Struthio camelus: one gene and its partner. The protein of the gene in region 2 interacts with the protein of the main gene of each other region in a pairwise test. Links are inferred from orthologs where the notes say so. Each region holds a gene or a part of one and is shown on either strand. Other genes may lie near its edges. The genes, in order: CTH and GUCD1.

The links.
Region 1: the proteins of GUCD1 (region 2) and CTH interact in binary tests that used the Homo sapiens proteins (3 or more experiments, as listed by UniProt). The two-hybrid records come from large-scale screens. The link is inferred for Struthio camelus from reciprocal best matches to the Homo sapiens genes GUCD1 and CTH.

Annotation. Positions count from the first base shown.
Region 1 is NC_090949.1:37,729,284-37,733,195, forward strand, and holds the start of CTH (cystathionine gamma-lyase), read left to right. Parts: upstream 1-990; 5' UTR 991-1,056; coding exon 1,057-1,221; intron 1,222-3,859; coding exon 3,860-3,912. UniProt on the Homo sapiens protein: Catalyzes the last step in the trans-sulfuration pathway from L-methionine to L-cysteine in a pyridoxal-5'-phosphate (PLP)-dependent manner, which consists on cleaving the L,L-cystathionine molecule into L-cysteine, ammonia and 2-oxobutanoate.
Region 2 is NC_090958.1:8,970,240-8,974,151, forward strand, and holds the start of GUCD1 (protein GUCD1), read right to left. Parts: upstream 2,523-3,912; 5' UTR 2,436-2,522; coding exon 2,399-2,435; intron 2,077-2,398; exon of another isoform or gene 2,045-2,076; intron 757-2,044; coding exon 672-756; intron 1-671. Other genes in the region: SNRPD3 (small nuclear ribonucleoprotein Sm D3), read left to right, coding at 3,482-3,607.

The DNA of each region.
Region 1 (3,912 bases), on a different chromosome or scaffold from region 2:
CTGTTTCAGGTGCTAGTTGATGCCTCTTAAATGTTGGAAGCTTCAGCTTGCATTTTTAATTACTGGAAGCCAGCTAAGAGAAGACAGAGGCATGAAGTCACTGTTTACCAGCTTATTATGGAGTGCTTTATTCAATCCAGAAATTTAATAATTGCATTCCTAATGGGAATGGCTGTGTGAAAACTGGAAGTTGGCAGTGAGTCCAGAAGACTACCTGGCTAGAACTCTACTGAATAATTATTTTACAGGTACAAATTCCTGAGAATGCTGGGCTGTTTTGGTTTTGTTTTGTTTTGCTTTTAAAACTGTCTACCGACATAACTTTGTCCTGTTTGTATTCTCCATCTTCTTAAATTACTTAACTGCTCTCTTCCAAGCACTGCACAATTTAGATAAAATTATCAGGATCAGATGTGGTCTAGAACTGTGCATTTTCTACACGTTTCTGGGTTGCAAGTCCATAGAAACTTCACCTAATGCCTTGATATACAGAAGCTGAATAGAACTAGAGAAATAATTTTTCCTAATGGAATTCCCCAAGTGGGAAATAAATAATGGAGGAGTAATTCCTCATGGGTGTATTCCTCCAGGAAGGATATGGATATTTTTAGTGCCCGAACTGAATTGGCCAAAAAATAGTGAGGAATAAAAGACAAAAGCAAAGTTTGCGCGAAACCCGAAGGTAGCTAGTAAATCAAAACGATATACTGCAATTTACATTTCTTTTTCTTGTAAGCCTGCCTCGCAGTAAACAGGAATTTTTATTTATTTTTAAATTTTTATTTAAATATTTTCTTTAAATTTATTTAAACTTGGGAACAAAGTGTCTCTGATAGAAAGAGGAAAGCAAGCAAGTATGGAGAAACGCTCTTTCCGTGCCCGGGCCGGGGCCCCGCCGGGTTCTTCTTCCGGCGCCCGCGGCGGGGCCGGGCCGGGGGCGGCTCCGCCCGCGCCAATGAGGGGCCCCGCCGAGGGCCCGCCCGCGCCGGGCCCCCGGGGCGGAGCCGGACTGAGTCTCGCCGCGCCGCGCCGCGCCGAGCCCACGGCAGCGAGGCCATGGAGGGAGCCGGCGGCGGCGGCGGGTTCCTGCCGCACTTCGCCCACTTCGCCACTCGCGCCATCCACGCCGGGCAGGAGCCCGAGCAGTGGCGCTCGGGCGCCGTGGTGCCGCCGCTCTCGCTCTCCACCACCTTCAAGCAGCGGGCCCCGGGGCAGCACGCGGTGAGTGGCCCGCCAGCGGGAAACGTCGCGTGGTTTTGTTATCCCCCCCAATTCTCTCTCCCTTATTTCTCTAGGGCGCGGGGGGAAGGGGGGAGTTCAGCTAAAAGCAGCCCTTTTTGGCAGCGGGTCCCGAGGCGAGGGGCGCAGAGCAGTCGGGAAATTCAGCGTTTAACGGAGCTCCCCACCTGCCCGGGACGGGGCAAGGGAAAGGGAGGGGCACTCCCTGGTTCAAACACATTAAAGATGTGTTTCCTTATTTCATTGTTAAAGATGGCGGGGTTGTTTCTTCCCTTGAGGATGCTGTGACTTACCCTTGAAATTCAGGTTTCCTCGCAGTATCTGGTTAGACATGCAAAGCCGTGGTAGGAGAGGAGGATTATTTTCCCCTTTTAAATCCCTGTAGCGTGTGTGACTTCCAAAACTGTTGTTTTTCATCATTTTGGCTCCTGGAGTAAAAGAAACAAAACCAGACTTACTGTAATTTTTTTCTCTATTGGAAAAGATAAGTTTTCCCACAATGGACGGAAAGGCATGTTGTGTGTCAGGGAGACTTTCAATTTGAAAGTCACAGCAAGTTAAGTACTCAGCTTTCTTCTATGGGTAGACAGGCTTCCCTGTGATGCGCGCAAAGGGATTCAACTGAGGAAGCTGACCACCATATGGTGGCAGTGTCTTGGCACGTCAGGTGATTCACGTGCACCCAAAGGCTTTCATGAACCAAGGGAGATAACAATATTTAACCTGGCTACGAGGCCTGGACATTTTATCATTCACACAGACTGGGTAAGAGGTTGCTTCAATTGTCCTTCCAGATCTCATACATTTTCCATAAATATTTTGTGGCGGTCTTTTAGAAAGTACTTGAAGTGTTGAATTATCATAGAGTTCCTGATGGTCACAATGTGCATGCGAGGGAAATAACACAATTTTTCAATTCGTAAGTCGGTATTTGCCCCAAGCCCTAATTCTGAATGTCACTCTTTGCCAGTTGGGCAATAGGAATTTATCTTGTGACCTTTGATCACTTACGTAGACTAAAATTTTGACTAGTTATGAGCTAAAAACAGATTAATTAACTTGCTGAAGAACACAGGGGAAGTAGTCACAAGCTGCTGTTCTTAGGTACTGATAATACAGTGAGCCACGTTCTTACTGGAAGCTCAGTGAGAACAGCCTGTCAGATTCCTGAAGTTGTCTTTAAGCACAAACCCTGAAAGGACAAAAATACCAAGATGCTGAGCCAGGTTCTCTCTGTGACAAGCGCATCCATACATGCATGATTTTTTTTTTTTCTTGTTTAATTTTTCAGTATTCATGTAAAAGCTGTTGGAGTCACACTTGGAACTTGGCATGATTCCATGCCAGGAAAATATCTGAGCTTTCTAAAGAACTTTTTGACTGGTCTTTGTCAGTCTGGTGCTGGCCAGTGCCTAAAGCATTTTTTCAAGCGAAGGGTTGTGGAGAAGGGACACATTCTTTCTGGTAAGAACATGAGAATGAGTGGACTGTGTCAGACCAAAGCCTCTTCTCCAACAGCAACCAGAGGTGGACATCTAGGAAAAAGGGAAAGAATGTGGCAAGCGATATGATATTTCTCCCAGTACTCTCCCAGTAACCATTTTCAGATTGGGGATGTCCAAAAAAGGGCTTGGAGACAGTTCAGGGTTATTCTACTTGTTATCGTGGATACTTAAATATCTTTTGGAGTCTGCTCAGATGATCACCAATGATCACCTTAGTTTCAGTGTTAATTTCTGTGGACGCATGATCAAGATCAAGCATTATAATATCTGGGTCTGAGAGAAACAGATTGCTTTCAGTGAAGTCACCTGGAGTGGAAGGTACTCCTCATTTCACCGGATTGGGCCTCCCAGGCATCATAATTCAGATTTTGGCAGATTATTTGCTTTCTGGTTCGTGTAGATGATTCTAAATGATGTAATCCATGTTCATTTAGATAGTCACTATAATAAGACAAATATTCAAAGGTCGACTGGTGCTGTCTAGAACACAGATTCGCTTTAAAGAATAGAGAAATTAATTTTCTCTAAGTTCTTTCTTCATTAAGATACAGGCTGTGTTTTAGTCAGTCAAGAGTGGTCTAGTTTTTATTTAATTAATGCTTTATTTGAAAAGTGGCATGACATTTAAATGTGTTTTAGATTTTAAATGGATGGCACTCCATGAGATTAGTAAAGCTGTGTTGGTTGTCAGTAGCTGAATAAATATCTAGCCATTGATTTTCCAAATGGAGTGATGAGTGGCTAGTGACTGGAGCTGAACTGTGGACATCCCTTTAAAGCAAAATGAGCTTTTCACTCCAGGAACAGTTAACACAAAATATGTCAATGTATGTTAAAATTCACAGCAGATAAATCTAGGTAAAGCTCACATAAATGTCTTGCTAGAGCTCGTGGGAGTTTAATGGCAAACAGACTTGTAAGGTAGGAGGGATGGATCCTACATTGTGTACAACAGGTTGATGTAGCCAGACCATCCCGCTGTTACTGGAAAGGATGGATGCATAGCCTGAATGTTGAGAATGAGGACCTTTGAAGGAAACCTAGGACTATTATTGTACAAAACTTTCTCTCACTGCTCTCTTTTAAGTTATGTTTGTTTCTTGCTTTCTCAACAGGGTTTTGAATATAGCCGGAGTGGAAATCCTACTCGGAATTGCCTGGAGAAGGC
Region 2 (3,912 bases):
GTAGGGATGGAGAGAAATGAAAATCTTCTGCTTCATATCTACTAAGTGGACATCTAAATAGGTATTTCTCCTGCACCTAAGCTCATGTTCCTCTGTGGAAGGAAAGAGGAGTTCAGCAGGACAGCTACTAGTTTAAAGAAAAAAAAAAAAAAAAGGGCAATACAGTGCATAGCCTTGAAGTTGAAACTACTCCTGGAACAGAAACCCTTCACCCTACAGAGTGGGGGCTCAACAGGACAGGGGCAATATATATTCATAAATACGGGATAAACCTACCAGCCACTTGAAAACACGCAGAATGGAAGTAAGAGAATTGCTGTGGTAAAAGCTAGTTCCAAATTATAACAGAAAAGAGGGATAACTTTTACTAGCTTAAGCATGCTAACCTGCAAAGATCTTAGTGCTAGTCAGATATTTTGCATCAATCAAAGCAGTTAATCATTTAAAAAGTCTTAAAATTTGTCCTAGTTTGTATTTTCCCTTGCTCTTGCTGGAGAGCTGTGCTAGACCCTGGCAGCAGTAATCCTCCAAAGGTACTTGAGACTATATGCTCTCACGATACTGAAGTTAAATTCACAGCTGCTTCCACATATCCTTTCTCCCTGGACATTGATTTCCGACTTCCCATGGGATGGGATTTCCAACCCCTTGAAGCCAAAAAAGTTACTTACTGTAGTACCATCCTGGAGCAGGCTAGCCCACAGTCCCAGTGGTACAGCTGCTGGATGACTGGCACTTTCAACTGGATGCAGTCAACTGCAGTGAAAACAACACTTAGTAAAACATGGAGGATGTCAACCCGCATATACATGTTTTTCCGTACCTCAGCATTCAAAGCCAATTTGCTGTCTTGCAGGTACACTCAGCACTATAGTGGGGGAAACTTAGGAACATTTTTTATTTTACCTGATTGGCAGGTCCTTTTTCCTAAGGGGATGTAGGTTTGTTTGGTATTTCTGTAGAGTTAACCCTCACGTGTCTGGTTTAATGTCATATTATTGTTACATATTTGGATCACTGTGCAGTATTTTATTCTTTTTTGTGGTGGTGACACATCCACCAGCCCCTAGTTACAAAGCTGTATCCCCTCCTAACTAGCAGTAGATAAGGCACAGCTATTCATCCTTTGTCATGTGTCCAAAACAGTCTCTGAATGTACTTCTGTGCCACAAAAGGTGTTCAGCCAGACTGTGATAAAACAGACACAACAAAGATCTCCTCCAGCCACCTCTCTCTCACAAGCCCCACAGAGCTGAGCCTTTTCTACAGATGTGTCTTTTTTCCTCAGGGACTATAATTTATGTGAGTAATTTTAAGTTACCGAACCTTACAAATGACACTAGTTGGCCTTTCGTGTTATATTCTCTCAAGGTTTCAGAAAAAGAAAGAAGAAAAATCTCTACTGGAAAGTCCATAATTCCATCTTTCTTCCTCATTTTTCATTTTTATAGGCTTGGGGCAAGTGTGATGGTTTCAGTCTCAGAAGACCCATTATCGTTTGAATTTGAATGACTTAGTGTTTTTGCAGGTGTTACTGTTATTTCAACCTTAATCAGAGTAAGCTAGTCTTAAAGGGCTTTTCTCAATCCCTTCACTTTTGACTAGAAAAGACCTTTGAAAGCTGTTAACACAAGGTCAACTACACTTCGGCATGAAGATAAAAATGCATTCCACATCATGTGGACTGGTCTAGTTTTGATAAAATTTTATTTGTAAAACTTTATAAGTAATGTCATTCGTAACAATAATTTTGTATTATTTCCTAACAAAGCTATAGCCTACAGTAGGCACAAGCCAATATAGATATTTTGGACTCTTCAAAAATATTTTTTCGTAGTTGTGCCCGTGTTTAATCGTGACTTCGAAGACCAGGTATACCTGCTGGTATATTCAGTTGTCTTTGTTAATCTAGATTAAGGTGCTCTTACGTAAGTCTCCTAAAGGGAAAACAAAAAGTCCCAGATCCTCCTCGGACTACCCTCTTTAAATCTTTATTGTTGGTTCTTCCCGGCGTGTCATGAGTCAGTTCCCTCTTCGTTCCTACCTAGGGCCTCTGCCAGCTCCCCAGGTTAATTTAAGAAGTAACGCTGTTTTCTGCCTGATGACTTCACAGACCGACAACGGCTCGTGCTTTTCCAGTTCTCCCGGGTGTCCAGCTCCCGGCCCCGCGGCCTCTCCCGGCGGGGCCTCCCCGCTGCCCCGAGGCGGCCGCCCGCGCCCCCGCCCGCGGCCGCCCCGCCGGCTCCGCGCCTCCGGCCGCCCCGCCAGCGCCGCCGCCAGCGCGCGAGGCCCCGGCTCCCGCTCCCGCTCCCGCTCCGCCGCCCGCGCTCAGCGCCCCGCCGGGGCCGGGGTGGGCGCGGGGGGCGGCCGGGCCTCGGGGCAGCAGGGGCGCACTGACCTGGCAGCGGCTCCCCGGCCTCCCGCGGGCTCTTCATGGCGGCGACGGCGGCGGCACCCGCCGCCCGCCCGCTCGCTGCCGGCCCCGCCGAGCCGGCCCGGCCCAGGGGCCCGCCGTGCCTCGGCGCCGCGCTGGCTCCGCCCGGCCCCGGCGCCGGGGGCGGGGGCTGCGGGGGCGGGGGGCCGGGCCCCGGGGCGCCGCGCCCTCGCCGCGGCGGGGCCGGCTGCGGCCGGGCGGCGGGGGCATGGCGCGGCGCGGCTCGGCGCGGCTCGCCGGGCGGGCAGCGCCCGCGGCGGCGGCGGCCCCTCTGCGGGCGCGGGCGGCGGCGGAACCGTCGTGCCGGGGCGCCGCGGCCCGGCCGGCCCCGCGCGCCGGAGGCGCCGCCTGCCCTGCCGGGGCGGGGCGGGGCGGGGCGGGCCGGACGGGACGGGGAGGAGCCTCCCGGCGAGCGCCGCTTTCCGCTTCCGGCGCGCGGGGCACGGCGGGAAGCTGGAGGAGGCCATTAGGGGCTGCGCGCGGGCCCGGCTTGAGGCGGTTGCGGGCGGTGAGTGGTGGTGGGCGCCGGGCCGGCCCCGGGGCCTCTTGGCTATGGCTGGCGACGAGGCCGCGGGCCCGGGGCGCCGTCCGGGCCCGGGCCGCCTCCTTCCCCCCTCGTGGTAGTGCCCGCTGCCCTGGCGCGGGACCCGTGGGCCCGGCCCGGCCCGGCTGCCGCGCTGCTGCCGCCGGGCCGCGCTTGCGAGCGGCCCCGGTGCCGCCGCCGCCCCTGCCTGCGCCGGCGGTTCGGTGTCCTCCAGCTGGGGAGCGGGTTTCCTTTCCCTTTCCTAGCAGGGAACCCGTAGGCAGCCACTTCCACTGATATTTAAGTGATTTTTTTTTTTCCCATAGCCCTCTTTCTAGAGGAGCTTTGTTAACGTTTCATCAAAACTTGTGGTGTTTCTGGGCAAGGGGGAACCCCCCTTCCCCCCCCCCCCCCCCCGTTTCTTACGCTTGAAAAGATCATAGGTAATGTAGGGAGAACCTAATTTCAAAGACCGTTTCCTTTGCTTTTCCTTGTCCCAGGGGTAGAGCCGCAGCTCTGCAGACATGTCGATCGGCGTGCCCATCAAAGTCCTGCACGAGGCGGAAGGCCACATCGTCACATGTGAGACCAACACAGGAGAAGTCTATCGGGGCAAGCTTATCGAAGCTGAAGACAACATGAACTGTCAGGTATAGCTGCCTCTGGTGGAGGGAAGGGAGGCTGTCTCGTCTGTGCCAGGAAAGGTTGATAGCTAGCTTATTTGTGTTTTGATTTAAAGACTATTATTTTTAGTCTAAGGATTAAAAAAAAAAAAAACCCTGCTGCTGCATGCCTACGTTGTAGTGAAGTGGACTCAGGATTGCTGAATGCTCTAAAGAGCGCAGAGTTTGTTCTTTTAGGGTTTAAAGCAGGCCTGGGAAGTCTTGTCAATAGCATTAGGGTTTTTTAAGACTTTGTTCTATGGACAGTGTTTCTACTGGAGTCTTTCATTTTA